Alligator mississippiensis: one gene and its partners. The protein of the gene in region 1 interacts with the protein of each later gene in a pairwise test. Links are inferred from orthologs where the notes say so. Each region holds a gene or a part of one and is shown in the gene's direction. Other genes may lie near its edges.

Region 1 (7,993 bases):
GATTGTTCACAAAGGTTTTAAAAGCAAATAGCTGGACAAATACTTGCCTATGATGCTTTATATAGGGATGATCCTGCCTTGAGCACGGGATTAAACTAGATGACCTCCTGGGGTCCATTGGAGCTGTACTTTTTTATGATGCAATGCACTGAGTTATTGGAGCCTTCTCGGGCAGATCCAGAGGGGCTGCACCCCCACCCCCACTTTCTGACCATGGGGCAGGAGCAGCAGTTGGGGACTTCTTTAAGTCCTGAAGATCAGAATTGCCCCCTCCTTTCCCCTCCAAGCTGAGGTTGTACCCTCCCCTCCCATTTCCCCCTCCCCTGCCTGCTGCTGCCCCTGTCCTTGCTGTCCTGGGGGTGAGGAGAGCTCCGACCCAGCTCCAGTTGGGCCATGCTGGACTTGGGTTCAGTCTGGGAAAGTAATAGTGGTGGTGGCAGGTGGGCTCCCTCTCCCTGCCTGGTTCCCCTGGGTGTTCCCCACCAGTCTGGGAGCAGATGCAAGGAGGGGAAACTTCCCACTGCCACCACTGTCCCAGGCTGAGCCCAGACCCCATGCAGCCCAGCTGGAGGGAGACAGGAGCTCCCTTCACCCCCAGGATTGCATATACAGCAGCAGTGGCAGGTGTGGCAAGGGACATGCTCTGAGCAAAGAGTATGGTGGGGGGGAATGCTTAACTGTTTTGGGGGACTTAAAATGGTCCCTAATTGCCGATCTCATGGCACGGTCTGGTCTCACTGGTATTGGTGGGGAGGAGGCTGGGAGTAGGGGGTGCTGCTCCTGTGCCCCTTTTTCAACATCCTGCATCTGCTCCTGGAGCCTTCTGGGGGTAAGGAGACATTTTAAAGCAACGTGAGTGTTGCAGGTGATGATGGAGCCTCTGATATCCCTCCTGCTCCTGAGGCTGACATACCCATATCTAGTCTTTGGGTATAATCCTGGGGGCTGGACTCGGAGATCTTCCGAGATCCCTTCCAGCCCGAATGTCTATGAAATCTAATGTCTATGAAAGTACCCACGTCACATACTTGGTGGGTAGGAGATTTGCTTTGTTTTGTAGTAGCCAACAAGGGCTGTGTACTTCCCCCCAACCCTGACCATTCATCAGTTTTCAAGGTTTGAGTGGGGGGAAAAAAATTGAAACACAACAGCAGAGCAACTATGGAGGATATTGAGATAACCCCCCCACCCCAGACCCATGAAGACAATATCAGATCAGGCAGGCAGCCAGTTTGTTTCTCTATTTCACCTCTTCCCTGCTTTGAATATTGGCCGAGCCTTCCCCAGTTCTCAAAGTTTCATTGAGCCACATGATCTTCTGTAAAAGGCAACACGTTTTTGGTTTTTTTTTTAAACTGCTTCAGATGTTCAAGCAAATGCCGGTTTATGCTTTCAATTCCATACTGTGCAAACAGCAGTAAGAGTTCCCTTCTTGTCTCAGCAGGTCTTACAAAACGGTTGCAAAGCACCACAACATGTGGGGCCCGAAGAGAGAAGGGAGAACGATTCTCCCTTCTGTGGGATGCCCGCTTTTACATATACAGCAGGCAAAATATTAGGAGAAATCCTCTCAGATTTCAGCAGTCCCTAAATATTTTTAACAGCTCAGATTTGGTGGGAGGAGGGGTAAAAAAAAGTTAAGAGACTCTAAATGCAGCAAAATTCCCGATGGGAGATCGGGAATGAGAATCGGGAATGAGAATTAAAGTGAGAATTTTGTCTGAAAACTGCAGCTTTTGTATAATATCTGGCTGGGGACTTTTCAGATGCTGTAACATTATATTCCTGTTATATTTCCATACTGATGCTTTGAATAGGGGTAGCCCCTGGGAGCCCCAGTCCTGGGGCAGGACCTCATAGTGCTAAATTCTGTACGAACACATTAATAAAAGAGCTGTTGCATACCCAAAGACTAGATAGATAGGCAGAGAGAGCATTGGTATCACTCAAACAAGGGATAAACATGGAGTGTGCACAACTACAGTACTGTGCTCTGGGGCAAAAAGTTAGGCTGTTTGGTTTCAGGTCTTTTTTAAAGAGTTGAACTGAACAATCAGTTTATTAGTGAATGGATTGGATCAATGGTTTTCAACCTTTTTAGACTCAAAGCACCCCTTGTTAGACTCAAGGCACCCCTCGGAAAATGCCAGCTCTTAGTTTTCGCTAGTTTTTGACTACAGAAAAGCTGCTTTCAGTATTTTTCTATTGCAAAGAACTCAAAAAGACCACAGCAGATCTGAGTGTTTTCAAAACAATGGATCCCTATTTGAAATTTCTGAGCTTATCTTGTGAATTATGTTTGTATGCTAACAGTACTAAAACCGCATGGCACCTAGGGGCACCCTTGAAAGACTCTCGCGGTACCCTGGATAAGAATCACTGGATTGAGACTGTGGTGTGAGTTTTCAGACGGTGTGACACATTGTGAATGATTGCCCTCTTCGATCATTTAATGGCGATCTAAAATCAATCCGTGCAGCTACCCCTGAAACAGTCAAATGGCTATCAAATTTAGATATTAAACTATGAATGTTGTATGAACATTGCAATCCTAAAATGTCATGTGAAATAGAGAGATGGGATTAGATGGAAGACTCTATATCAGGGGTGGGCAATTATTTTGGGGGGAGGGCCGCTTACTGAGTTTTGGGAAGCCATCGAGGGCCGCATGACAGACAGCCAGGGGCAGGTAAATATTAATTTTCTAAATTTTTAGGGGCTCCGCGGGCCGGAGAGAATGGCCTGGTGGGCTGCATCTGGCCCATGGGCTGCATTGTGCCCTTCCCTGCTCTATATGCACAGTGCTCCTGCTTTTTCTTGAGAACTAGCAGCGGGGAGTTGGCTAGAAGAGGTGTTGTTGCATCTTGTTCTATGAACAAAAGAAATGAGCAAAAACCCAGGGCTCTTGTTTGGCACTAACATGCTCATGGAAAATCGTAACGCTTGGTTTTCTTTCTTTCTCTTGTCCTCCATTCATTATTTTGGTTTATTATTTATGTTTGTGATTAGCTAGGACCCTGCTCCCCCCCCCGCCTGCAGGTTGCTTCTCCTTTCCCCAGAGGGGTGGCTTCCAGATACCTTCCCCTATACAAGCATGGCTGGCAGGTACCTGAGCGATGCATCTTCTCCTTTTTTACCTTTAGCCCCTTCCCAATGCAATCCCTGCTTCCTGCTGAGAGCAGGGAGAAGGGCTGCGATGTCCGCAGAGGGGGTGACATGATTACACACATGCAACGGGCACAATCACAGGCTGGCTTTTCCTCTGTCTCCTTGGGGTGGGTGCACAAAGTACAGAGGAACTGGTGACTCAGGGGGCACAGAGATATCCACTCTTGCATTAACATGATACTGCCAAAGGTGCCAAGCTAGTTGCAACTATGAATTGGCGCTGGGAAAGGCAGGGTGCCTGCCCTGCGGTGCAGGTGAGGGAATGGTGCCTGTGAGCATCAGTGGGGCTCACTCGTTCACAGGGGGCAGCCCCGCTCTGTTCCCAATGCCTGGTGGGTTTGGCTCCATGTAAAGAACAGGGGATGTTACAACCCAGGGGCTGAGATGGTAGAGGGCTCTCTACCTCAGCTTTGCAAATCCACCTTTTCAGAGATTTGAATGTGCATTACCTTCAGTCCCGTCCCAATGCTAGTCTTGCTTCCTACGGGGAGCAGGGGGAAATACAGAATCAAAGAATCACAGAACATGAGGGTTGAAGGGACCTCAGGAGGTCACATCTAGTCCAACCGCCTGCTCAGAGCAGGACCAGCCCCAACTACATCATCCCAGCCAAAGCTCTGTCTAGCCAGGTCTTAAAAACCTCCTAGGACAGAGATCCCACCACCTCTCTGGAAAGCCTGTTCCAGTGCTTTACTGCCCTTCCAGGGAGATATGAGGAAAGACTTTCTAACCTCAACTTCCCTTGCTGCAAATTGAGCCCGTTGCTCCTTGTTCTGTCATCTGCCACTACAGTCCAGCTCCATCCTTTTTGCAGCCTCCCTGCAGGTAATCGAAGGATGCTATTAAATCACCTCTCCGTCTTCTATTCTGCAAACTAAATAAACCCAGCTCTCTCAGCCTTTCCTCGCAAGCCCCCTAACCATTTTGTTGTCCTCTACTGGACTCTCTCCAATTTGTCCACATCCTTTCTGTAGTGGGGGGGCCCAAAACTGGACCTAGTACTCCAGATGTGGCCTCCCCAGTGCTGCATAGAGGGGAAGAATCACTTCCCTTGACCTGCTGGCATCACTTCTACCAATGCAGCCCGGGATGCTGTTAGCTTTCTTGGCAACAAGGGCACGCTGCTGGCTCATATTCAGCTCGTTGTCCAGTCACCCCCAGGTCCTTTCTGCAGAGCTGCTGCCCAGCCCATCAACCCCAGCCTGCACTGGTGCGTGGGACTGCTCTGTCCTAAGTGCAGGACTTTGCACTTGTTCTTGTAGAGAAGGGCTCTGACACCTGCAAGGAGGGCCCTGCAGCCAGTTTTCGTTGGGGACCAGTTCAGGACCAAAATGCTCCCAAGCCTGAAACCCAGGCATGTGGGTGTCACCCAGGGAGGGCTGGGGGAAGTGAGCCCTACCTTTAGTGTGCAAAGGGTTTTCCAATTGCAATTAGAATGCAAATTAACATTCTAACGGCCATTAACATTCTAATTGTAATTAACCCCTGATTTCATCATTCCCACCAGCCTATGGCTGTGTCCACCCTACAGGGCTCCCCTGGGGCGCAGCGCGCAGTACCCCCTCCCTGCCACTAGGGGGCAGACGCCACCCCTCTGCGGATACTCTCTCTCCCGGAGCCGCGCTCTCTATGGTGATGTAACGACATTTCCGCCCCTCCTCTTCTCGCCTACGAAGTTTGCACAGCTCCTGCTTTACGAGGCCCAGCCTTGCGGCGTAACTCTCCCGCTACTTGCGCAGCTTGCTCCAACACCGCTCTGCCCTGCCACCAAGTCGGACGCAGTTTGCGTAGCTCCCCTCAGCCACGCCCCTTCCCGCCGTGCGCTGCGCCGTTTACGTAGGGGCGGGCGGGCGACTGCGCAGGCGCGGGGCTCGCGGCGCTTCGTTCATGGCGGCGGCGAGTGAGTGTCCTGGGCCCGGCCCGCGTCGCTAATCGAGGCCGAGGCTTTAGGCCGCACCAGGCCGGGGCTTCCCGCGCCGGGCTGGGAAGGGGGGAAGCAGTGGGGTCGGGTTGTGCGCGGCGGGACGGGGTGTCCGCCCGGGTTAAACGTGGGGGAGGGGCTCTCACGGCGGGGGCGGGGCCAGAGAAGGGGGGAGGGGCGCCCCCATTGTGGAGGAGGGGGTCCCATGGGGGGAGGGGCGTCCCGTGGAGGGTTCCATGGGGGGGAGGAGCGTCCTGCGTGGGGGGTTCCATGGGGGGGAGGGGCGTCCCGTGGGGGGGGTTCCATAGGGGGGAGGGGCGTCCTGCGTGGGGGGTTCCATGGGGGGGAGGGGCGTCCCGTGGGGGGGTTCCATGGGGGGGAAGGGGGGTTCCAGGGGGGGAGGGTGTCCCATTGTGGGGGCGCGGCTGTAGGGGGTTGTGCTGTGTGTGTGTGTGTGTGTGTGGGGGGGGGGGGGGGGAGGGCATTGTCGCCAGGCCTGCATTGGGCGGGGGCAGCGCAGGGTTGGGGGGACCGTGGAGACGAGCTGGTTGCAAGCAGGGAAGAAGCGGCTGGCTGGAGGCTGCGAGAGGAGAGGAGAGGCAGGAAGAGCTACCAGGACCGGTGTCATGTGGCCGTGCTGGGTCCCTCTGCAGGGATGCCCAGAAGAAACAGGGCCTGCACCTTTTCGGTTATGCGCTCCCCGTCTGCAGCCCCGCCGAGCCGCAGGACCTCCTGGTCAGCCTCCTCCTGGCCCTAGCCAAGCGGGACGTCTGTTTGACCAGGAAGGAGGCTCCAGCCAGGGAAGCCGTCGGGGACTGCCGGGCTCCTTTGCTGTCCTGGTTCAACTCGCGTCTGCAGGCAGAGTTTCATCGGGCAGCATCCGCTAGCCCCTTGGACTCGTTGGAGGGCCGGCGGCCCCTCGGTATGCATCCACTGATTCCTTGGGACAACTTATAATGAGAGCGGGGACAGGAGCGGGGGTCAGAGTTGGATAACGAGAGCACCAAGGATGGGGGACCCCGAGCAGAGCTCATCAGCCAGCGCCCACCGGCCCTCGAACATGTGTAAGGAGTCAGTAGATGCCATCTGGTGAAAATGCCCGCAGACGTGATTAGATAAGGGACAGGAGGATGGCCCCAGAGTCCCTGTTGAGACCCCCAGCTGGAGCCTCTTTCCTGGACAGGCCTATTTGACACGTTTTGTGGACATGGGCCTTAGGCCCACAAAGCAACAGTTAGTGCCCCTTGCTAATAGAGGGGGCTATTGGATACATGTCAGTTGATGACATGGGACAAAAAGCAAAGCAGGGATGGGAGTGAAGGTTGTAGGTTAAAAACGAGTGCACTGAGGGGGACGTGGGACAGTGCCTCGAATGAGTCCAAGGAGCCAGTGGTGAGTGGACCAGTGAAACTCTGCCCGGAGATGTGAATAGACGAGGGACAGGAAACCGGCTGCATGGTCCCTGGGGGGTCTCCCACCCAGATCCTCCTTCCTGATCAGATAGATCGCTAATTTGGCTAAGGGCAGGGGGAGGTTGACCATGAGGGTCCCGGGACTTAATGGGGCTGTGGATAGGGAGAGCATAAGTGAAACGATGCAGGAGTAGTGCAGCCAGAGCCTCAGCAGGAAGTCCTAGAGGGCGCTGCAGCCTGGCACTCTTCAGGCAGGCACGTACCAGGGTCTCCCTCTGATCGCAGAAGGGGCAGGAGCTGGGGGCATCCATAAACTGCACCAGATACATGCCCATAGCAATCGCTCTGTGGAGGAGCCAGTAGCTGAGGTCCCCTGGAGGGTCGTGGGATCAGGGTGGAATATAAGCTTGTCCACCAGGCCGGCAGATGTAGGAAGTTCTGATTAGTAATAGGAGGAGCCAGCTTTAAAATAGTTGTATATATATTTGTCTATATCTATCTTCTTCCCTTGCTTGTCCTGTCTAAACAGGTTGCTTTTGCAGATCCTGGCTCTCCACTGACTTCGGTCATACTTATTTTCTTCTTCCAACTCCTCTCACGTTCTTCTGCAGTATCTCTCTCTATCTCATCTTTGGCCTTCCTCTTCCCCTTCTCCCTGGTAGCACCATTCTGATAACTTTATTCCTACGTATTCTTCTGGACTCCTTTGAACATACCCGTACCATGCCAGTCTTCTCTCTTGTACTTTCTTAGATGCCTCCGCTACCTTCACCAATCCTCTGATGTAAGAATTCTTCACTTTATCCATCTCCGTCACTCCACCCATCCGTCTGCGCAGTCTCACCTCTGTCACATTTAGTCGCCTTTCTTGTGTTTTCTTCATGGGCTGTCTTCACTCCGTACAATAGTACTGGGCACATGGACGTCTTGTAGACTTTCCTCTTCAGCTCCACTGATAATCTCCTGTCACATAATAGTCTTGTCACCAATTTCCAGTTTGTCCACCCTGCTGTTACTCAGTGGTTCAACTCTTCATCTAACCCTGCTGACCGGTTGACCTCACATACTTGAACTTGTTAACTTTTCGAACATGTTTCTCATCGATTATCACATTTGCAACATCAGGTATCTCAGAGAAATCACAGTAAATGTATTCCGTTTTGGATCAACTCATCTTCATTCCTCTTCCCTCTTGTACTTCTTTCCATTGGTCCAAACCAGCTTGCATTTCCTCTAAACTCTTGGCGCAAATGACCATGTTGTCCACAAACATCATGTTCCACGGAGGTCTCCTTCTTATTTGTTCAGTAAACACATCCATCGTGACCGCAAATAGGAACGGACTCAAAGCTGACCCTTGATGAATGCCCATCTTCACCTCAAAACTCTGTCTCTCTCAAACTGCTCCTCACTTTCGTTGTACATTTGCAATATATGTCCTCAGTGGTTCTGACATATTTCTGCGGCATATCCTTAACTTTCAGACGCTTCA
Region 2 (7,615 bases), on another chromosome or scaffold:
ATTACCTACTGATTCATCCATACCCGCATTCACTCAGGGGACCAGCCCAATACAGCAATACAATTCCAGTTATTACAATTCCAGTGCATTCTTATAATAATAATTTTAGTAATACAAGGTATGACTTACTCTAAAGAATACATTTGTTAAAAGTTAAAAGGTAGAAAATATAAAATACAAAATGCCAGGGCAAAGATGAGACATGAAATATAAAAATGTACTGTGAGAAATATAGAAAAATGCAAGATGAGGTAGCGAGGATCAACGGCCACTGGGGTTAGATGCACTCATGCAGACTGATTTAGCATAAAACTTTAGACAGATATGGGAAGTTTGCTTTGGGAAATAGGTCTTAATCAAAGGAAAAATGTGTTTACCAGGATATATTTACAGTCATGCTTTCAGTGCACCTTGGCTTTTCTTGTCTCTTACAGGCTTTGCTTTGAAGTGGATATTTTAGTTCTTTTGTTTTCTTTAGTGACACAGCTCAACTGATACATAGATGTAGTCTGTAGGTTTCTCCTACAGAAAGCCACTTCAGCTTTCTGGCTTGCTCGGAGCCTTGCCACACCCATGCAATGAATGTGCTAGGTCTCTGCCAATACTTAGAAGGAAAAAGAAATGCACAAAAAGGGAAAGAGGGTGCAGGCAAGAAGGGGCTTCTGTTATATCAATGCCCAGAAGGGTAGTGTACAAAGGGGGCTCCCTGTTACAAGGCTTTTAATTTACTATCTGCAATTTTGCTGTCGTCTTATTTTCCAATCATAGAAAATATACCTGTTAATAATTTTACACAATTTGATATTTTAATAATAATTATCTATGGAAATGCCATTTGTTAACAGTTGACTTTTACTGGAGGTAGAGGAAAATCTTCATTTAATCCATATAAATGGAGGGAAAGGGCAAAAGTAATGCATGTGTATTAATTTGGGGTTGGAGAGGGACTGAGAAAGGAGGAGAATGGAGCAGAGAATACATTTGAAAGTCAATCTGAAAGGTTCTTTCAGGTCAGAAACATAGCAGCTTTTTTCTGGTTACAAGGTCACATGGGGATGATGCAAGTAACAGTCTCCAAAATGTAGTGGTAGAGAACCTATGGCAGTAGCTTCCAAAGGTTGCCTACCCTCTATACTGTTGACGTCAGTCTTCTCAAAATCTTGTCATCCTTGAACTTTGTCTGACTGCCCTCATCCATAATACAATGTTAACACCCATCACAGGCCATACCATAATTAACAATAAATCCTTTGGCATAACGGTCCTGGCAATACATTACAGGCTTCCCACCTCTGCCTTCAGGAAGGGGCACTACTTTTGGCTCACATTTAATTTTATCCTTACATATTAGAACACAGTATATCAAGAAAACACCTAATGATGATGATGATGTAAGTGTAACCATCTCTATTGACTTAAATAGGACTTAAAAATGTGATTCAGTTTTTTACTGAGCTGGGGTTTATATCATGAAGAGCAGTTAGTAACCGTCTAAACCCGTGGCTCCTCCTGCTGCAGCGGCTGGGGCCTTCGATGCCTGTATGGGGCGTTTGAACCTCGGCAGGCCCCGGCTGAGGAGGGGGGGAGCTTGTTGCTTCTCCCCCTGCCACACACACATCATGTTGGGGGTGCGGGATGTGTACGGGCTGCCTGGGGTCAGCCAGGCCCCGTGGAAGGGCTCCTGGAGATGAGGAGCTTCCTCTTCTAGCCGCAGATCTCGCCATGTCTTGGCTTGGCTGAGTGCTCGGTTTCTGCAGAGCCTTGTAGGGCCTCATTTAAAGATCTCTTTTTTTCCCCCCCAAACTTGTCGATTATGTGGCTGCAGCTCTCACCAGCACTGGGCTGGAAACTGCTCCTCGGTTTTGTGCTGCATTGTCACTCTGCTGTCTGTGATGGTTCTTTTCCCAGGGAAGCCTAACTTAAATGTTCTTTATTTCCATGAGAGAGAGAGAGACTGTTGTGGAGCCGCAAGGATTAGACCTAATTCTGTATGGAGGTGGCTGGGCAGTACCTCTCCCCATCTTCCAGATCTTCCAGGCTTATAGCTTATACCCAAAGGGTATGTGGCCAAGCAGGGGGTACAGGAGACTCGCCCTTGCTGGGTTATGCCTGCTTTCCCTGCCCCATCCAAGGAAAACACTTAAAAGGTAGCAGTGCTGCAGAAGTGGTCTGCCCAGCTCCCCTCGCAGCCTGGGGCCATGGGAGGAATGCGACGTGGGCACCTGTGGGGGCTTTCTATACCCAAAGGGTAATTAGCCTCCAGTGCAATGTGGAGTAGTAATCTGATATGTTGTCACTAGCACACCTCCTTCAGATGTTGGGCTATGTTCTTCATAAGGTGAAGATTTTTAGCAGCCTTTTTAGTCAACCCCAGAAAGATCCCCAGAGCAGTTATTTAAACTAGAGGTAATAAAGGCATTCATGCAATGTCTCTCCCTCACCTTCTTTGTTTATTCTGGGACTCTCTCATTTCCCTTTTGCTCAGTCCTCTCCTTTCTGTTTATTCTATCCTTTACAATCATCTCAATTTGCTTCCATTTTTCCTCCTACTTTTTGAACCCATATGGTCTTTTTTACCCACTCATGGCACCACCTACCTGATTTTCTTTCCACACTTTCCTATAGATTTCTCTCCTAAATCTCTTGTTGCATCTGGCTTTCAAAAAAGTACTTCCAGAATTCTCATGTCATGTTCCAGCCTCAGCTCAGTGTCCTACATCCATTCTGACAGCATTCTGACTCACTGGGGATCTCACCTCACAGTGCTATACGTATTATAGGCAGAAAGAGCTGCTAAGTGCCAGTTTCAGGAAACAGTACCCCGTCTCAAAGCAATTATGTCAAGCTAGTTTGGGGACCCACATGGAAACCAGCTCCCAGCACTGGAAACTAAATCAGGAAGGAATCTATCAGTTGGTAAAAGTCCTACAGTATAACTTACTGCCTTTCTTTAGTTTGTAACACCACTACCAGCACCAGAAGCCTATACTCCTGGGGCCTGATCCTCTAGTCTTGTATGCTAGTACCAAAATTATAGCATTACTCCTCCAATATATAAGTATATAAATATATAAAGCCTCATATCTGGGGACCCACAGTGATTCTAATGTATGATGTAGCCTGTGCTGAAAGGCCAACCAATAGATTCAGCAACTATTCAGATCCACTGGTCAGTATCTAATGTGTCCAGGGAGCATCCTGAGAGCTGCCACTGTAGATCATAGTTCTGCTGGGACTGTATTATTACTCTGTGGTCTACAATGATGTTTCAGTTCCTTGCAGTGATTTATACAAAGTTATTTTATTTGCAAGGTGCTTAGATTTGGTCCTTACTTGATGTAGTATATGGCATAAGTGTCACAAGGTGGAGATCTCAGTGGGGAAGCAGTCTCATATTACTGTCTATAGAGTCTTATACTGTCTATACTGTCTCATAATTCTTTGTTTGGGTGACAAAGAAAAAAATTGCCATCAATAATCCATCAGTATAGGATTCCTTTTGCCTCTGGTGCCAAATCAGCACCACAGCTGACTTTCCCTTCTAGGAGGCATGTTTTTGCCATAGAGGAACATCAGAATACTGATCTGGTAGCAGAGCTGTGGCCTCTCTGGATTTAACCCTCATGTAATTCTATAGCAAAAGAACTGTTCCAGAGCAGAACACTCTTAAATTAAGATTCAGCCTGGAGGTTTTATAAAGAAATTAAAAAGCTTTGAAATGAGACAGGCCAGGACTATAAAACAAAGCTGGAGCTAAGAATGGGAACAAGGCAGCTACGACAGCCTGACCTGCCTAGCTCTGTTGATGAAGCATTACAAAAAAACCCCATGGTTGAGATCTGACAGACTGCTTAAAAAAAAAAAATCCTTAAATTGCAGACCTGGGCATGTTGCCCAGGATCCCTGGCTTGGGATCCCTCATGGTTTGGGAGCAGAGATGCCCACAGAGCAGCTCAAAGGCCCCCCAGGTGCCCACGTCACATTCCTCCCGTGGCCCCGGGCTGGGAGGGGAGCTGGGCAGGCCGCTTCTGCAGCACTGCTGCCTTTTAAGTGTTTTCCTTGGATGTGACAGTCGCACCTGCTGTGGTAAACTAGATGTATGGTGCAGGGAAAGCAGGTGCTTAACCCCAGCCCTGGGGGGCAAGTCTCCTGTACCCGCTGCTGGGCCACATCTCTTGAGCCCTGGACCCTGCCAGCTGGGGGGGGAGGTGGGGAAACACGGGGACTCCCTCATGCACAGTGCCAGATGAACCCTTTTGCAGTCCCTGGGCAAACAAACTCATGGACCCTACTTAATACGGTATATGTATATTATTTATTTATATTATATTTATACTGTATAAATGTTTTTTTCCCACTCAATAATTATAATATGTAAAATGATCACAACTGGGCCGCTTCTTAGGGCCCTAGGCATGTGCCTAGTTTGCCTATGCGTTACCGCGGGGCTGCGAAAGGAGCAGCGCCCTACAGAACCGCAGAGCCTGCGGCCGCCGGGCGTGACAGGGCCGCAGCGCCGGCCCCGCCTCCCCGATCGCTAGCTCGGTCATCGGCTCGCCGCCCCTCCCCCCAGGCGGGAGGCTTCCTCGCTCTCCTCTTCAATCGGTGAAGTCGGCGCTCGATTCCGGCCGCCAGGGCTGGCCGAGGGAGAGAGCCAAGATGGCGGACAGGGCGCCAGGCGGTTCGCAGAAAGGCAGCGGGAAGGTGAGGCCGCCCTCAGGGGCGCGCACGCGGCACCGTCGCTCGGGGCCCGCGGCAGGGGGTGGGCCGGGCCGGGCCGGGCCGTGGTAGTGGCAAGTGCCGGCCGGAGCAAGCATGGCGCGGGGAGGCGGGTGCGCAGGCTGCGCGGCCTGCTCTGGCCCCCTTCCCCGGCCCTGCTGCTGCCGGGCGCGCCGGGGCCTACTGGAGGCCGGTGCCCGCGGCTCTTCCCGCTGCAGCGGCTGGGGCCTTCGATGCCCGTGTGGGGCGTTTGAACCTCGGCAGGCCCCGGCTGAGGAGGGGGGGGAGCTTGTCGCTTCTCCCCCCGCCACTCACGCGTCGTGCTGGGAGCGCGCGGCGCGCACGGGCTGCCCGGGGTTGGCCGGGCCCTGTGGAAGGGCTCTTGGAGACGAGGAGCCTCCTCTTCTAGCCGCAGATCTCGCCATGCCTTGGCTTGGCTGAGTGCTCGGTCTCTGCAGAGCCTTGTAGGGCTTCATTTAAAGATCTCTTCCCCCCCAAACTCGTCAATTATGTGTCTGCAGCTCTGGCCAGCACTGGGCTGGAAACTGCTCCTCGGTTTTGTGCTGCATTGTCACTCTGCTCTCTGTGATGGTTCTTTTCCCAGGGAAGCCTAACTTAAATGTTCTTTATTTCCATGAGAGAGAGAGACTGTTGTGGAGCCGCAAGGATTAGACCTAGTTCTGTATGGAGGTGGCTGGGCAGTACCTCTCCCCATCTTCCAGATCTTCCAGTCTTATGGTTCCAGGGGTCGTTTTTTTCCCTGGCTCCTTCAGTTAGCCCGAGTTGTACAGCAGTGTCTGCACAGATCCTGTTCCCCTGTGGTGCTCTGTTACATCTGCAGGGTTGATGCTGCAGCCTTTTCAGCTACAGCTCTAGGAATGCTTGGAGTTGATATTTTTGTGGTAGAAAGAACCACTATCTTATTGTAAATATTATGTCTTCAGCACTGCAAACACTTATGCAGGTTCTTAACTTGATTCATATATGGAGCCCCATTTCCCATTTTGGAAATATTTATACCTGCCTAGGGATAATTTTGTGACTGAGAGCTTTAAACCAGTAGTTACTTGAGATGAATATTCCTAATTTGGTTTCCTTTTTATACCTGGCTGAAGGCAAGCCTCAATTGTGCTGTATGTATGAGATTAGATAAGGATGATCAAGAGCATAGAGAAGTTTTGTTTTTTTTAATAAGCAAAGATTAAATGTGCTTGCACTTTTCAGCGTAGACAAAAGATGACTGAGTGGATATGATAAAGGTTCATAAAATAAAATGAGTGGCATGAAGGAAGTAAATAAGGATATATTCATGAGTGGATTGGGTGGGGGAAGGAGTACAGTCACATCCCCATTTGATTCCTGATCCACTGAAAGTTTAAAACAAACTGCCTGGTAGGGACAGCTGAATTTCTATTCAGGTAGAGTGAGAGAGTCTATAGATTTCATAGCTTATTATTATCTACTTGATTTCTGCCAATCTTTAGTCCCTTGACCCATTTAGTATCCACAGTGTACGGCAGGGGTGGGAAAATGTGGCCCACCTGGCCATTCTATCTGGACCGAGGGGGCCCCTGAAAAAATTAGAAAATTAATATTTATCTGCCCCTGGCTGCCTGTCATACAGCCCTTGGTGGTTTGCCAATACTCAGTAAGCGGCCGTCCGCCTGAAATAATTGCCCACTCCCTGGTGTAGGGTATACTGTATTCATAGGAGCAGTGAGGGGATTGAGTAGCATAGGCCTCTGTGGGGCATGAGGGGGGATTGTGGGATCTGATGGTTTTGGGGTTTGATAGGATGGGGCTGAATATGGAAATATGTGGGATAATGGGGGACAGAGTAGAGGCAGGGGGAATTTGAGGTGGCAGGTGGAGCATATAAAGGGCAGTGTGGGACACTTTGGGGCCATGGTGGAGTGTCTGGGGGACTTGTGTAGGAGTACAGGGAGGAGTTCCATTTGATCAGAGTGTAACAGGTATACCTACTACCCAGCACCAGATGCCTGCCCAATTTGGATCTGGTAGTCAGCCCCTCAGTGATTCAGTTGCATTTGTTTTTACTTGGAAATTGGAAAAAAATATATGCTGTTTTATGGGATGATGTACCATATCACTTGCACTCTCCCTGCCCCCCCCCCCCCCCTTCAAAATCTGAGATCCACCCACGGATGTATTATTTATAGAGGTGCACCAATACATCGATCCCGTATTGGATCAGCACTGATATAAAGAAAATTGAGTGTATCGGAAATTGGCCTGATGAGGCCAATAATTTGGCTGATAAATGCCCATACATGCATGTAGCCACAGCGCAGCCTGGCAGCATGGAGAGCTGTGTGCAGCTGTTAAGTCTGTTGTGGTGCAAGGGGAGGGGAGGGAAGGGGCATAGGGGTGCAGATCAGTGGCCCCTGCAGTGAGGGAGGGAGTGGGGCTGGGGCAAGTGCTGCAGTGTGGGTGTGGGACGGAGCTGCGGCTCGTCCGGGGCTTGAGTGGGGGGGGGTGGCTCCTGTCATTGCGTGCACCCCAGGAGGGTGGGGGGGAGTGCGTGCCCCCAGATCTGCATGGGGTGTGGGTGGGTTGGGCTGCAGCTGCAGGCTGGGGCCAGGACTGCACTGGGTTCTTCCCTTTGAGGAGGGGTGGGGGTTGGACCAGGGTTGTGCTTGGGGTGGGTGGTGGTGGCACTGGGAGGGTGCTGTGGTGAATTTTGGGAGGGATACAGCCCCCGCATAATGCTCTTCCCAGCGCTGCTGCTGCTTCCTGCCCCAAATGCAGCCCTGGCCCCAGCCTGAAGCTGCAGCCCACCCCGCCTGTGCAGATCTGAGGGCACATGCCCCTCCTGTCCACTCCCAGGGTGTGCACAGCGGTGGGAGCCACTCCTCTCTGCGCCGTCCGGATGAGC
Region 3 (7,849 bases), on another chromosome or scaffold:
TGGCATTAAGCAAGCCTGATTCTACCCATAAATTCCTATAAAAGTTCACAGGACAACATGTAAATTTAGTAGGGTGGTTTTATAGTGATAATACTTTTCACTTATGTGGTATTTTATATCTAAGGCTCTCAAAGTACTTGACAAATACTTATTTTTACAAGGTCTTTGAGAGGTAGGTGGGAGTAAGCCCTTTTTTCCAGGTAAAGAGATTTAAAGATATTGGGCAAGTTGCTGCCAAAATTTGGAAGCAGGAGTTCATGCTTAGTTTCTAGTATAATGGAATCAATGGCAAAGTCTGCCCTGTATGGTTGTATTGTTGAATTGCTCTTCAGAAAGTGAAAATACTTTCTTTTTAAAATACAGTTTTGACTTTTCTTGCTAATAAACTTAACCACTTTTGGAGTTTTCTTGTGCACAAATTAGAAGGTACTTGCTTCACAGCTTGCAAGAAGAGGAGGTTAGACTAGAGCTTTGTGGTCAACTATTGTAACTTTTTCTGCTGCTCCTTGTCAGGCCTGCATAGTATCTAGTGAACCCAAGAGCTTGACTGAGATGGATCTGGCTATGTTTGAAATGTAATCTACCTAAGAGAGAGGTGCTATCAGTTGGCTGGTTACATAGCTTCTTTCCCCATTACTGAGAAATGTATTCTCATGATGTATGCTGCTGAGGAGTCCTTCTTGACCTGTATTTGCTTCTGGTGTTCTGGGTGGTGTTGATAGCAAGGACTGAATTTTCCCACAGCAATTGCTATCTGCCCCCCCCCCCCCCCCCAAATGTAAAACATTGACAATATCATCCAGGCTTTCTGATCTCTAGGTTAAATTGCAATGATGAACAGTATATGGAGTTATCTTTTGAAGATGACTCACAAGCCTTCGGTTGTGCCCAAGCTGCAGTGCTTGGTAAAACGGACTGTAGGGAGCACATGACATCTTTGCTTTAAACAGTAGGCTGGTTTCCTATTTATTTCCTGGAACAATTCAAAGTGTTAAGTATTCTTATTGGTAAAGTTTGACAATTTAGTTGCTGTAAATACATACAAGAAACTGCTGCTCTCGTCGCTGCACTTGTTGACATCAGTCGATTCGCTTTTTTGCTAATATATTTGAACGTGTGGGTTTGTTGTCATATTCTTGATAGAGGTGCTTGCCTCTGAAAGTAATTTCCTCTGTTGATATGACAATCCTGTAGGGATTTTGTGTAGGGTCCACTTATTCAGTTAGAGCTAGATCCAAGAAAGGAATTGCATATAGCAGCCCTGATTGTTAAGGTGCTGAGCATAGAATGGAATCCAGAACCCAGTGTTAGGAATGTTGGTTCCCTATACAGTATAATGGAAGACTAGGGCTGGTCTGGAATAGGTCTTGTGGGAGACATGGTTGAATATTCATTCTCCACCTGAGTCCAATGACCAGCTCCTGATCTGGAAGTCTGCCAGTGATGCTGCACTGGGCTAGTCCCCGGTACAAGGTGTTAGATCTGCTAGAGACAGAAGGCTTAAGAGCAGGCTCTGATTATGTCAGCTTTGTGGACAGACAAGCTTTGGGGCATCTCTGTAGACCCGAGTGGTTGGTTGGATGTGCTCAGTCCTGCCCTCCCTAAGGCCTGCTACAGATACAGTACAGACAAACCCCAAGGCATTTCCAAATGACAATCTCTTAGTGGCCTCCCAAACATTTCATTCCTCTGCATGGTGGCCCAGCTTCAACAAGGTAGGTGGAGAAGGTTTCCACCCAGCCTAGCTGATACAGAGAGAAATAACTAGCTAGTTCTACACCCTGGGCCATGGTACCATGTGGTGAAGGGCAGCAGCCAGAAGTTTGCTGGGAGGGGGGGAGGCAAAAGGGGCAAGTTAACCACCTCTGATGCTTCCCTTTCTCTCCTGCAGCACCCTGTTTCTGCTGGCTACTTACTGCCTTTGTACCATATCCTATCAACCCCATTGCTGCTGCTCTGCCCCCTTGCTGTTGGAACCAGAGCAACTGCATATGAGGGGATGATGAGTACTGTACCCCCCAGCTCCATTCCAGTGTTCCCCCCTCCTGACTCCTTTTAGGCACTGCCCTTGGCTAGTGCCCCATGTTACCCTACTGCTGATATCTGGTCATTGAAGTGATCTGTTTGGAGATGGGAAAAGTGAGTCTGATCACCCTCAGGCTGAAGAAAGATTTGAACTTACTCTTTTACTTCCTGGGTAAATGCTCTGCTATGCTATCATATAAAATGTTGGTATTTTTTTCCTTCTCATGCCATGTTTTAAAAATAAAGTACTCAACTGCATTTGGTGAAGGAGGTTGGTTTGCTTGGTATGCATTGCCTGTGCTCTGAGTATGGCCTAGCAGATTGGGACCTTCCAGGCATGTAGGCATCCAGCTCCTATATTCTGATCAGGGGAAGGCAAGTGTAAGTGGTGTTTTGCTCAGATTGGATCTGTGCCCATGCTCAGAGGCATAATTTTAAGCGCTTACAGGACTTTCCAATTAAATAGGGAGGTGCCTAGTAAGGTAAGCAGCCACCAAGTGGGGTTGTTTTGGGTTTAAGCATCTTGGTCCTTCTTTGGATCTATTTCTTAGACTTCACTCTCGCAAATTAGCATATTTTAAATAAACAATAAGACATTTGTATCCAATACCAGGGGAGCCAGGGTGCTTAAAGTAATATAATCACACAGATTCAGCCTGCAGTTCTACATCAACTTGATACAAATCTCTTACAGATGGTTTATTGTGGGAACTTTAGTCTCCAGAGCTGCATTTCAGAACTGAAGTAACAGTTTAAACCAAACTTTCAGGGCTTTTTTGATGGTTATAAACGTTTTAATAGTTTTAAATGTAAAGAGTTTTGGTTTGGGTTAAGCATTTTCTTGCCATGGAAACAACCCACTATAGCACTTCATTGTCCTTGTGTTAATTTGAAACTTGCTAGAAATTTATTGAAAGGGTTATGAAGCTGACTAATCAATCTTTGATTAGGATGAAAAATGGCTTTATTTTGGGTATGACTCTATTCTTAAAAAAAAAAAAGAGAGAATAAAGTGAAATGGAAAAACTGAAGTTTAAGTCATTTTAAAGTGTGTGCATATATAGATGCATGTAGGTCAAAGTATTTTTAATTTTTTTTTTTTTTTATCAGCTTCCTTTGGAAGATGAGGATGCATAGAATATGCTCAGTTTTGGGCATATCTGCTGCATCATTTGTGCTTCTGGTCAGTAGTAGCATCTTACCAATAGTCTCATTGTTACCTGGTCCTCCCTATCTTTCTGCCTGGTTACTGTCTCAAGTCTTGTATTTAGGCCTGATCCTGTGAAAAATTGCATGTGTTTAATTACTTCAATGTTTTCAGGCAGATAAGGTTCTGAAGGCTTCATGGTTTAAAGAATTTCAGGATGAAGACTTCAGATTGTAAACTGTTTGGGCTAAAGCGGTATGCTTATTATTAGGAATCTACACAAATACAAGGGAGTAGGGACCTTTATGTACTACCACAGTGTAACTAATGCAGCGCAAGTAATAAATAATGCTAATATGGCCTTTGGTTGGTTAGTTAAAATTTAGAATTATGTCACATCCACGTAAAGCCAAGATCCAATGACCCCAGAAATAGATATCCCAGTGTTGTCTGTAAGCTTGAAAGTTTGCTAGACAATAACTCTTAATAGAAACTCAGAATCTTGAGCGTCTAAATTCAAGCCCATAGGTTAGTAAAAAGTGTTCCAAGTGGGGGAGCCGAGCAGAGCAGTGACCAGCACCCCCCGGGACAGTGTTACTTACAGTATTTTATTTAATTTGATATCTTCAAATACAAATAATTTTCTATTACAGTTATGCTTAAGACCCCTGAGTCCCCCCTAGTTCATAGTGGAAGACAATCCCAGGCCTGAAGAACTTCTTGAAAAGATATCTCTATAGGGTGTTATTTATCAGTTCCAGACAGGCATAACTCCCCTTATTCAGCAATATGACCGTCCCCATGGGGAGTCATGCCAACGTAACAGTGGCTTTAGTCTGTCTCTTGGGCCATGCTAATACAGGATTTGCCCTGGTGGCTTGGAGGCACAGTCTTTTGCCAACACAGCTGCACTGGCAAAAGCCCAAAGCCCCCAGTTACACTGCAAAGCTGTCTTTCTCAGTACAGATGCTCCACAGCTGGGAGGTGGGTGCCGTCTGGTGCAGCACACCCCGCAGCTTCGCTGTCAGGGCTGTGCCTAGCCCGGGGGCGCTCTGCAGGCCTTCCTGGCTCCCTAGGCGCTTTGCAGTCCGCGTGACCTACGCTTGCAGCGACACCGCCTTCTCACCGCTCGGAGGGACACGGGCGGAGTCAGGGACTGGGCCCTGCCCAGTGGGGCCCTGGGACCCGAGCCCAGGCGCCCTGCGGGGCTTTGCTGTGTGTTGCAGGGCCCGTGTTCTCCTGGGGGTGCCGGGCTCTGCTCCGTGCCCCCTTTGAGACCCTGCTTAGGAGCCGAGGAGCATCACCCGCTTCCCTGGGCTCTTCCACGGGCTGCCCTAGGAGAGTGCAGAGGCCTCGGCCCAGGGACAAGCAGGTCGGGCCTGCGCTGCACGTGCCGTCCATGCGGCTTGACCCCCACCTCCCTCTGGGGCACGGGCGGGCAGCTGCAGCCGAGGCCCAGTCCTGGCGGCCCTCAAGGAGCCGGGCCATGCTCCGGGCCCGCCCGCTCTCCCTCGGCCCCGGCGAGTGGCGGGGCGGGCGGAACCCGCGCGGCGGGGCCGAGTTCCCGGCCGGCGCCAGCTCTGCGCACCGTCCCCCCCGCGCGCGCCGCCAGCTCCAGTGTCTCGCGCCGCCCGGGCGCTTCCTTCCGGCCGCCATTTTAGTCGCTGTTTCTGGCCTCGCGGCGCGGCTGCTGCTGCTGCTGCTGCCGCCGCCGCCGCCGCCTGAGGAGCGGAGCCGCCGCCATGTCCAAGCGCCACCGCCTAGACCTGGGGGACGACTACAGTTCCAGCAAGAAGCGCGCCGCCTCCGACGGGTGAGGGCAGCGGTGCCGCGGCGTGTGGGGACCCGGCCTCACGCCTGATCCGCCCGGGCCCGGAGCCGCGCGGCGCCTCCTCCCGGCTCTGCGGCTTCGCCCGCGCTCCGCGGGGGGGAGGGGGCGGCGCTCCCCCCCGCTCTGCCCGGCTGGCGGCAGATCCCCCTCGCGCTGCCTTGGGTGGTCGCTGCGCCTGTGTCGGCGGGAGCAGCCGGCCGGGCCCCGGGCCAGCGCTGAGGGGGAAACGGGGGCTCGGCCTCGGCTGCCCCGGGCCCAGCGACGCGACGGGCTTCGCCGCACTTTCCGGGCCGCAGCGGGCGACCGCCTCCTTGCCGCGGGTCGGGCCGGGTCGCTCTTGCCTCAGGAGAGGAGTGGAAACGCTTCCCTGCGCCCTTGGCGGCCTCCTCGTGCCCTGCTCGGGCTCGGCCGCTTGCTCTTGTTGTGTGGCCCCGAGCCCCAGTGCGCTTCTCGTCTCCTCCAGTATGGGGCATTTGGGACCTCCCTGAATTCACTCCATTCACTCAAAGTTGGTGCCTGAACTAAGGCACCTCTAGAGAAATAGCCAGTCGCTATCCTTGACAGTGTCTAGTTATGGGAAATGCAGCCCAGGCTGGTTCTCCGAGATAAATGGGGTTGTGGTGGTGTTGCTGCATTTAAAAAGGGAGGTGTGGGGGAGGGACACAGCATTTCTCAGATGAATCCGCTCAGCTTCCATGGCTTGGCGATGCCTCTCTGCTAGAGCGAAGAGCCCTGTTACCAAGTTCCTGGTTTCCATGCGTAAGTATTTCTAGACCCTAACCAGTTGCACCTTGAAACTTCCGTTTGTTCAACTGAACAGATTGGGTTCCTTCACTTAATTGTCATAAGGCATGTTTTCTGACGCTTTCCCCAAAACGTCCTCTCTTTCAACATTCTTACTGACTTGTAGTACTGGCGCTCAATGGAAAGGTAATCTAATTTGTCTTCTCCACAGTACTCCTTGCCTAGACATCCCAAGTGATCATAGTAACCCCCTCTAGTACTAGGAGTTCATATTCGTGGGGTTGTCCCACTGTGATTCCTAAGTCTTGTTGAGAGTCTCTGCTTTCTTATATAATCTCTTATCTTGAGGTATATCCTAAATCCTGGTTTTCTAGATGTCACCTTAAGTGTGGCAGTGTTAGAATGTGGATTGTTTGCCTGAATCCAGCTTATAAAAAGATCCAAAATGTTCTGAATCGGTGTCCTGTTTTCTTCATTATTTATCACTCCTTTGATCTCTGTCATCCACAAACTCTGCCTCTGGTAACTTTTTTTCTTTCAGATCACTGGTCGAAAATAGCCTAGAATAAATCGCTTAGCAAGTCCACCAGGAATGCATCTGCTTGAGAATTCTCAGTTATGATTACATTTTGGCACCTAGCAATTTTTTTAGTCAATGTAATGTGTGTTTGATTTAATTTTATTTTGTAGTAAATGTTAGTAGTACCAACTCAAGTATCTTATAGAAGTCTAAAGGCTTTTCTGCATGAGCACTCTTTTGCACCAACTTTCTGTATGCCACTTGCATTACATGAAAGTGGACACTGGTACCCAGTTGATCATCTTCAAAAGTAGAGTTAGTTACACTGCAAATAGGATTATCATGTTTTACAAGGGTTTACACAGGCAGTGGCATGGAACAGCTAGTGCAGTTTACAGTCACACTGGAGCTTATTTTGCAATACCTTTCTTGGGTGGACAAATCCCTGGTGTATTACATCAGCACTTTTGCATTTATTAGCCAAACTTGTCAGGTAAAAAATGATAGTGTTGTCCTTTTTTAATTCTCATTTGTAATTTGGGTTGTGTATTGGCTGTTCTATTTATTTTACTTGAGTTTGATGTCGGGTTGGCAGGTTTAAAATTGCCTTGATCATCTTTATGTATGTATGTATGTATATGTCTCTTGGAGCTTCCTAGGGTGTGCCAGTTCTGCTGGGACCAAGCCCGAGGTTCCAGGCTAGAAGGTCTAGCCCCTCCGCTCATGGTCTAACTGACTGTCATATTTGGGGTCAGTAAGGAATTTTACCTGATGGTCAGATTGGTATGGACTACAGGGTTTTTTGCCTTCTTCTGTAACAGGGCCATGACCCTCTACCCCAGGATCTGTTGTGCATATGTTGACAGCATTTCACAGAAACAGGACATTGGCTTCCATGGTTCCCCTGCTTTACCTGTGGCAGGTTAGGATGTTAGATCTGTGTTGTTGCATTGGGGTTGACAGTAATCTTATGTAGAGTTTAGATTATGGATTGTGTGAGATGGTTTGGGTAGGGATGGACTAGATGGCCTCTGGATGTCCCTCCTGGCCCTGCTTCTCTATGATTCCTCAGTGTTTCAAGCCATATTGAAAACAACATTAGGGGCCCACAGAGTCCTTTGGACATCTTACTTGGGTGCACATTGCCTGGTGACCTGTATCTATTAATTTCAAATGTCTCACTTCAGTAGCTGCTGTTTGTTGTCATCCAAAGTAATTGCTGCAGTGGAAAGTGTTTCATCATCTGATTTAATACCAGTTTACGTTTTTGCATTATCATTCACTTCACTACCATGTCTAATTATGAATAAAGAGGTAGTTAGCCATGTTAGTTTAAAGTCAGGTAAAAGGCAGCCCAGGATGACATCTGCCTTTTGCATGAGTACTTTAATCATAATGGGCCATTATTAGATTACTCTTGTTCTTGGTGTACTTAAACTTTTTAAATAGCTTTAACTTTGGTGTTTGGTCATTGGATTTCCTTGTGTCTTTGCTTGGATTTTTTGTGTGCATGTTGGAGGTTTTGCTTTTTGTTTCTTTTATGTGCTTCCCAAGTTCTAGTTTATTCTTTTTTCTCTATTTC
Region 4 (7,116 bases), on another chromosome or scaffold:
AAGGGACTGGCTCTGGGGATGGGGCAGGCTTGGTGAGGCAATCCCATGCATCTTGCATTCTTTCCCCCCCGCAGATAAATGTCCTGTACAACCGCATCAGCCACGCTCAGAAATTGTGAGTAGTTGCAATGTAGCTGTTTCCTCTCTATGGGAGAGTATAGAATCATAGAAAATGAGGGTTGGAAAGGACCTCAGTAGGTCATCTAGTCCAACCCCCTACTCAAAGCAGGACCGTCCCCAACTAGATCATCCCAGTGAAGGCTTTGTCTAGCCAGGTCTTAAAAAACTCCAAGGATGGAGAGTCCACAACCTCTCTGGGTAATCTGTTTCAGTGCTTTACTACCCTCCTAGTGGGAAAGTTCTTCCTAATATCTAACCTAAACTTCTCTTGCTGCAACTTGAGCCCATTGCTCCTTTTTCTGTCATCTGCTACCACTGAGAACAGTCCAGCTCCATCCTCTTTTGAACCCCCTTCAGGTAGATGAAAGCTACTATTAAATCCCCACTCAGTCTTCTCTTCTCCAGACTAAATAAACCCAGTTCCCTCAACCTCTCCTCATATACATGAATTCCCTCAGCCCCCTCACCATTTTTGTTGCCCTCCACTGGACTCTCTCCAATTTGTCCACATGCTTTCTGTAGTGGGGGCCACAAAACTGGACACAGTACTCCGGATGTGGCCTCAGCAGTGCTGAACAGAGGGGAAGAATCGCTTCTCTTGATCTCTTGGCTGCACTTCTCCTAATGCAGCCCAGTATGCTCACAACAAGGACACACTGTTGTGTGTGGGACCACCCAGGCCAGAGACCAACCACCTCCTCCATCCCCCAACCCTTTTTCCCCATGAGGGAAGGAGGAGATGGGCTGATACTGAGATGAGCTTGGTGAGGCCAGAGGGTTTTGACACCAAAACTGGCTTGCTCTGGGGAAGATGCTGAGATCAGCTGGGCCCAGGGTTGGGTTGGGGCAATGGTATGTTTGGGGGACAGGAATCTGGGGGCCTTGAGGTCTGTTCTAACCCTCCCCTTTCTCTCCATAGCAAAAAGGTGCCTGGCAAGGGCCGTTTCGGAGGCCGCTGGAAATAAACGCCAGGCCCTCAGGCAGATCGCCCCTGCCACCCTTCCCTCCTGCATCCACCCTCCTGTATCCAACCAGATGATCCCCACCTTGACTTCCACCCATCCTGGTTCCTGCTGGCATGGAGATTCTGCCCTGTGTGATCTGGAAAATCAGGAAACTGGTGTGAGCTGTGTCCTGTGTCCAACTACCTGGGCCATGTAATAAAACATATCCCTTGCCCTTGGCTCATGGATGGAGCCTCGATCTGGTTTGTGGAGCAAGGGAGGGAATTGTGTATGCATATTGAGAGGGGGAGGGGTGTGTGTGGCTTTACACAGAGCCCCCCCTAGGCAGATGGGCCCCTGACACTTAACTGTCTTCTAGATCACCCCCCCCCCCCAAATAATTCCCCTCCAAACCTCCCCTCTACCACAGGCATGGCTCCCCTGCTGTCCATCACACACACTTCTGCCCCCACACAGATTTAAGCTGCTTCCAGCTGCCTACCTCCAATTGCTCCCCTCCTCCCACCACACAGCAGGGCCTGTCCCCCTAAAATAAGCCCTACCCACTTGGGAGCTGACTGCAACTTGGTGGCAGATCTCTAGGCTTCAACAACAGGGTGGGAGGGATCAGGTGGGCTCCACTGCCACCCTTCCCTTAATACATGGAAGTCTGATGCTCTGTTAGGCAGTTCCTAGGATCACCAGTTGGAGGGTTGAAGGAAACAAAGGCTTGTGCTGTCCCCAGGGATTCAATAACTGCCACCAAAAGGCAGTGTCAGAGTAAAGGCAGCTCTTCACAGGTCAGCCTCACATGCCCTCTCTAGCCCACCAGGGCACTGGCACCGCAGTAACATACAGAGGGATCAGGACTTTGAATAAGCCCCTTGTTCAGATACACAGGGCTTGGCCCAGCTCGTTCAGCAATGGGCCCAGACTCCCTGTAGACTCAGGCAGGCACTGCATGTCCATCAGTCCCAGGGAGTGGGAGAGGAGTTTTGCTTTGTTTCCCATGAATGCTAAGATCTGGGGGCCAAGGCTGCTGGCAGTAGGAGATGCTGGAAGGTGACAGGGGAGAATACAGGCTATTGCCAGTGGGACAGGGACGGTGCACTAGGAATCAGCCTAAAGCAATGTGGAGCCACAAAGCTGCAGCCTACTAAGGTGCCCAAGGATGGGAGGTTTCCTAGACTCAGACTCCAGCTCAGGGGAGGCTAATTATTTCAGGCGGAGGGCTGCTTACTGAGTTTTGGAAAGCCATTGAGGGCCACATGACAGGCAGCCAGGGGCAGATAAATATTAATTTTCTAAATTTTTTAGGGGCCCTGCAGGCCAGACAGAATGGCCTGGTAAGCTGCATGTGGCCTGCAGGCTGCATTTTGCTCACCTCTGAGCCAGCTGGACTCTATTTCCCATGATAATTCTGGGGTGGGGGACTCCATTCTCATGATGCAGCAGGCCAGCACACACCATTCCCCAGGTTGCTTCTGGGTTGGGGGCTCTGCTCCCATGATACAATGGGACATCAGAGTGAGGGGGAGTGGCAGTGGGCAGGGCTCTGCTACCCTAAGGCCCCATGGCCAAATTGCCTGGGGACTCCATTTCCAGCATGCTTTGCAGAGGCCAGGGGCAGCTGGTGGGTGGGGGGAGAGGCAAACTCCATTTTCCAAGATGCCCCATGGGCAGGGTGAGAGAATCCATAAGTGCCATGCGTCTGCTGTGCACCCTCTCCTGTGATGCCCCAACAGGTGTGGGGTAAAGGGATTCCATTTCCCATAATGCCCCACAGCAGTGGGCAAGAAGGGACTCCCTTTCCCATGGTGTACTGCTGTGACTCACACCCGCTCAGTCTCTCATGATGCTCTGGGCAAGTCCCACCACACCCTGCAGTGGATGGATGAGGGGGGAGGGACTGTTTCGTACATTGCACGAGTGACTCCCCACGCCAATGATGCTCGGTACCTAGGCAAGGGACTCAATTTCCCAAGATACACTGCGTCACACCCCATCTCCCCCTGCCTCAGCATTACAGGGATAGGGAGGAGGGGGAAACTGCACTGCCCATGATGCCCTGCAGCAGGTGGGAAGAGACGAGAAAGGAAGAGAAGGGGACTCCCTTTCCCATGATGCACTGCGAAGGAGGAATTCATAACTATGGTTACCATATTTCCAGGTCCAAACATAGGGCAACTGGGGAGGGGGGTCTGATTGCTGGGGGGCGGGGGGCAATCCTCCCATCCCCCCGGGCTCTACCAATGCCCCTCCCTCCCGACTCACAGCCCCTGTCGCCCCCGTCCTGACCGCGCCGGAGCGCTGCAGCTGCGGCCGCTCCAATTCTTGCGGGCGGTACGAGGGAGGGGACGCCTGTGACATGGCAGCCCGGGCTCGGGCTCCCGAGCGGCGCGGCCCCCCCTGAGCAGCATCTCCCGGCTGCCCCGCCACGCTAACCCTAACCCCAACCCCCTGCCCTGCCGCGCCCCCCCACCGTTTCCTCCTTGACAGAGCAAAAACCCTCGTTTTTCCGCGGCGAACGGGAAACGCGGCTCCGCGGAGGGCCCTGGGAAATGCAGTCCCATCGGCAGAGCCCAGACCTCTGCTCCCAGAACCTGAACACAGTCCTGCCCCCCGGGCGGGGCGCTCTGGAGGGACCCCTCCTGCTGCTCCTGGCGCTTCTTCCTTCCCCAGCCTCAACCCCCACACCACGCCCAGCAACTACTCCACCTCCTCCCCAGAGCTGGCCCTCCCCACGGGGATCCCATTCTCACACCACTAGTGGCTCACATCTCCTCTCCCAGCATGCCCCGCGACGGCGGCTTTGTGCAATAGGGGACAAGGACTCCTGTCCCCATGACGCACTCCTTCCTCCCCGGCTCTTCTAGCATGCCCGGGCAGGGACTCACTTTCCCGTGACGCCCCGTGCCTCCCGGCATGCCCCACGGCTGCTTTTCCCGGCCTGCCCCGCGCCGGGGGCGGGCCCGCTCGTTTCCATGGCGCCCCGCCCCCCGCTTCCGGCGCCCCCGCTGGCTGCCGAGGCAGGAAGCCGGGCGGGGGCCGGGGGGCGATGGCGGCCGAGGCGGCAGCCGCGGCCCAGGCCCGGCGGCGCGAGCAGCTGCGGCAGTGGGAGGCGGCGGCGCCGGCCGGCCCCCCGCGCCCGCCCCGCGCCCGCGCCGTCCGCTTCGAGCGCGCCGCCGAGTTCCTGGCCGCCTGCGCCGCGGGGGAGCTGGCCGAGGCGGCCGCCATGCTACGGGGGGGGGCCGAGCCCCAGCCCGACGGCCCCGGGCCCGGGCTCATCGACGGCACCAACGCCGACGGCATCAGCGCCCTGCACCAGGTGCGCGGGCGGGGGGCAGTGGGATTGCTGCCTCCCAGGGAGAGGAACGCCTAGGGAGGGTGGTGGGGTCGTTGCTGGAGGGCAGGGGCAGGTCCTAGGGGCTGGAGTAAGTAGGGTTGGAGATGGGAGCATTGGAGGCAGTGAATGGGTGGGGGACTGTGGGATTTCTGCCCTGCAGGGAGAGGAAGGCCTGGGGAGGGGGGCCATTGCTGGGGGTGGGGGCAGTTCCTAGAGGAGCTGGGGGCAGGGGGGATGCTGGAGGCAGGGGGTGGGGGCAAGCTGGTGGTGGTGTGAGTAGTGGGATCCCCATGGTGAGGGCCAGCTCTGGGGAGGGGGTGGAGTAGTTGCTGAGTGGGGTGTGGTGGTTGAGGCTGGGGAAGGAAGAAGGGCCAGGAGCAGCAGGAGGGGGAGGAGGTCGTTGCTTTGGGGGTTGGGGTCATTGCTGGTGGGTAGGGTGGGAGGAGGGGGTAGTTACTAGAGGATCTGGGGACACTGGGGTGGGAGAAGCTGATGGTGTGAGCAGTGGGATCTTCCTGGTGAGGTCAAGCCATGTGGGGGTCATTGCTGGGAGGTTAGGAAGAGGACACAGTTACTAGGTGAGCGTGGGAGAGTGGGGGTAGGAGGAGGGGTCCTTGGGGTCAGGGTAAGGGGTGTTGGAGGCAGGAGGGGGTGGAAGTAACTGGCGGTGTCAGCACTAGGATTTTCTCTGTGAAATCAAGGCCTGGGGAGGGCAGTGGGGTAGCTGCCTGGGGGAGGAGGAGGAAGGTGCTAGGGGAGGAAGAAGGAGCTGTTGGGGCAGAAGGGTGATCGGGGGGGGGGCAGTACTGGGGCTAGGAGGAAGAGGCCATTGCTGGGGGTTGAAGGAAGGCCCCTTGGGGTAGGAAGAGGTTACAGTTATTAGGGGAGCTGAGAGCAGTTGGGGTAGGAAGAGGGGGTAGTGTGGGGGCAAAGTGGCTGCTGCTGTTAGCAGTGGGATCCCCTCTGGTGAGCTCAAGCTATGGGAAGGTGGGTGGGGTAGTTGCTGGGGGGAGTCCTTGGGGTTGGGGGTAGCATGGGGGAACAAGTGTTTGGTGCTTTTAGAAGTGGGATCCCCTCTGGTGAGCTCAGGCCCTGGAGAGGGGATTGGGATAGCTGCTGGGGAGGGAGGAGGTGAGGGGCAACAGAGGGAGGAGGAACGGGCAGTTTTGGGTGGGGGGGGTGGTAGGAAAAGAAGGGTTTGGGGGGAGCTGAGGGCTAGAGGGACAGTACTGGGGTATAGGAGGAGGAGGGGTGGTTGCAGAAGGGGTCCTTGAGGTTGTTGGGGGTGGGGAGCAAGTGACTGCTGTTGTGAATGGTGGCACCCCACTGCCAAGCTCAAGCCCTGAGGGGAGGGGGATGAGTAGTTGTAGGGAGCTGTTGGGGCAGGGAGTGAGGAGGAAGGGGTAGCCAGTTGAGGGGTGGGAAGCATAGGAGGAGGGAGTTGTTGGGGTCAGGGGTGTTGGGGCAGTGGGAGGGAACACCTGACTGCTGCTCCTTGGCAAGCGGAAGCCCTGGTTGTCTCTTGTCCTCTAATCCCTCCAGTTCGGGGGGTGCCAATTGTATCTAGGCAGAGGGGAACCTTGGGGGAGGGGTGGAGGGTAGAAAGAGCCCCCATGGGAAGGGTGCATCTGGGAAGCAAGGGGGTAGGGCTTGGCAGGGGCTTGTCATGCTGGTAGGGTCAGGAGCAAGGGGGTGAAGAGGCTAAGGTTAGGCAGTTGGGGACCAGAGGCAGGGATGGGGAGTGCCAGATGCTGGAGGGGAAGTATCCTCAGGAGCTGGGGGGGCGTGGAGCAGGAGTGGGGCACTTGGAAGGAGGGGTAGTTACAGAAGAGGGTGTGTGCTGTGGGTGGTGGGGTGGGAATAAGGAAGGGGAACTGGGTGCCAGGGGCAGGTGCAGATGGAGGGTGGGCAAGGAGGGCTGAGGGGGGTAACTAAGTGGCAGCAGATCTGGGGAGGGAGTCCTGGCGCTGAGGCTTCTGGCAAAGGAAACAGTATGGTGGGGGCAGGGAGGAGGGAAAGGCCTCCAGCTCAGACAGTGCTGCTACATCAAGGCAGCTGGAGCCATTATGCTCTGTATGGGCATGCCCAGCCCTGCACCCTGCCAAGGGGCATCAGCTCCCCCAGGGTCCGTGCTGCTCAATTCCCCACATCGCTAGGGCAGCCTTTGTTTCTGTTTGCCAGAGTCCACCCAGGTGGGACTGGGGGATCAGAGCAGCAGGGGTGGAAACCAGCCAGCAGGTCTGCCTACTGAGAGGATCAGGATGCCTGGGTTCAAAGCCCAGCTCTGAAAGCAGAGAGGAGTCCAGAGTCAGGGTAGGCAGCTCATGGAACTGGATGCATTCCTCTTCCAGAGCGGGGATAGAACCCAGGTGTCCTGGCTGCCAGCCTCCCCCATGCAAGGGAAATTTGTTGGAAACCAGAACCCATCAGTTACATGCCTAGCATGGCCTGTTAGGGGCAGCTTGTGGCAGGGACTTTCTTCTCTTCTGGGCACTGACCCCAGTCTGACCTCAGGGCTGGGGGCAGGCTTACTCAGGGGGTTAGGGAGTGGGACAGCTCCTCTTGTGTCAAGCAGTGGAGGGGGGGAGTGCCAGCGTCAGCTGGCTCCAGCTCAGTCCCGTCTCATGCTCATTTGCTGCTGCATAATGAGGTGGTCAGGTCTTGGTCTGTGGTGGGTGGGTGTGAGGGAGGGAAGTTGTCCCTGTC

What was found.
Region 2: the proteins of RBM17 (region 1) and U2SURP interact in binary tests that used the Homo sapiens proteins (3 or more experiments, as listed by UniProt). The link is inferred for Alligator mississippiensis from reciprocal best matches to the Homo sapiens genes RBM17 and U2SURP.
Region 3: the proteins of RBM17 (region 1) and DHX15 interact in binary tests that used the Homo sapiens proteins (3 or more experiments, as listed by UniProt). The link is inferred for Alligator mississippiensis from reciprocal best matches to the Homo sapiens genes RBM17 and DHX15.
Region 4: the proteins of RBM17 (region 1) and PPP1R12C interact in binary tests that used the Homo sapiens proteins (3 or more experiments, as listed by UniProt). The two-hybrid records come from large-scale screens. The link is inferred for Alligator mississippiensis from reciprocal best matches to the Homo sapiens genes RBM17 and PPP1R12C.

The regions. Positions count from the first base shown.
Region 1 is NC_081827.1:9,433,980-9,441,972, forward strand, and holds the start of RBM17 (splicing factor 45), read left to right. Parts: upstream 1-4,985; 5' UTR 4,986-5,068; intron 5,069-5,777; exon of another isoform or gene 5,778-6,011; intron 6,012-7,993. UniProt on the Homo sapiens protein: Splice factor that binds to the single-stranded 3'AG at the exon/intron border and promotes its utilization in the second catalytic step. Involved in the regulation of alternative splicing and the utilization of cryptic splice sites.
Region 2 is NC_081830.1:56,731,740-56,739,354, forward strand, and holds the start of U2SURP (U2 snRNP-associated SURP motif-containing protein), read left to right. Parts: upstream 1-4,607; 5' UTR 4,608-4,659; coding exon 4,660-4,704; intron 4,705-7,615.
Region 3 is NC_081825.1:39,040,068-39,047,916, reverse strand, and holds the start of DHX15 (ATP-dependent RNA helicase DHX15), read left to right. Parts: upstream 1-4,836; 5' UTR 4,837-4,914; coding exon 4,915-4,985; intron 4,986-7,849.
Region 4 is NC_081828.1:39,232,964-39,240,079, reverse strand, and holds the start of PPP1R12C (protein phosphatase 1 regulatory subunit 12C), read left to right. Parts: upstream 1-4,107; 5' UTR 4,108-4,122; coding exon 4,123-4,392; intron 4,393-7,116. Other genes in the region: TNNT1 (troponin T, slow skeletal muscle), read left to right, coding at 75-115, 1,040-1,085. UniProt on the Homo sapiens protein: Regulates myosin phosphatase activity.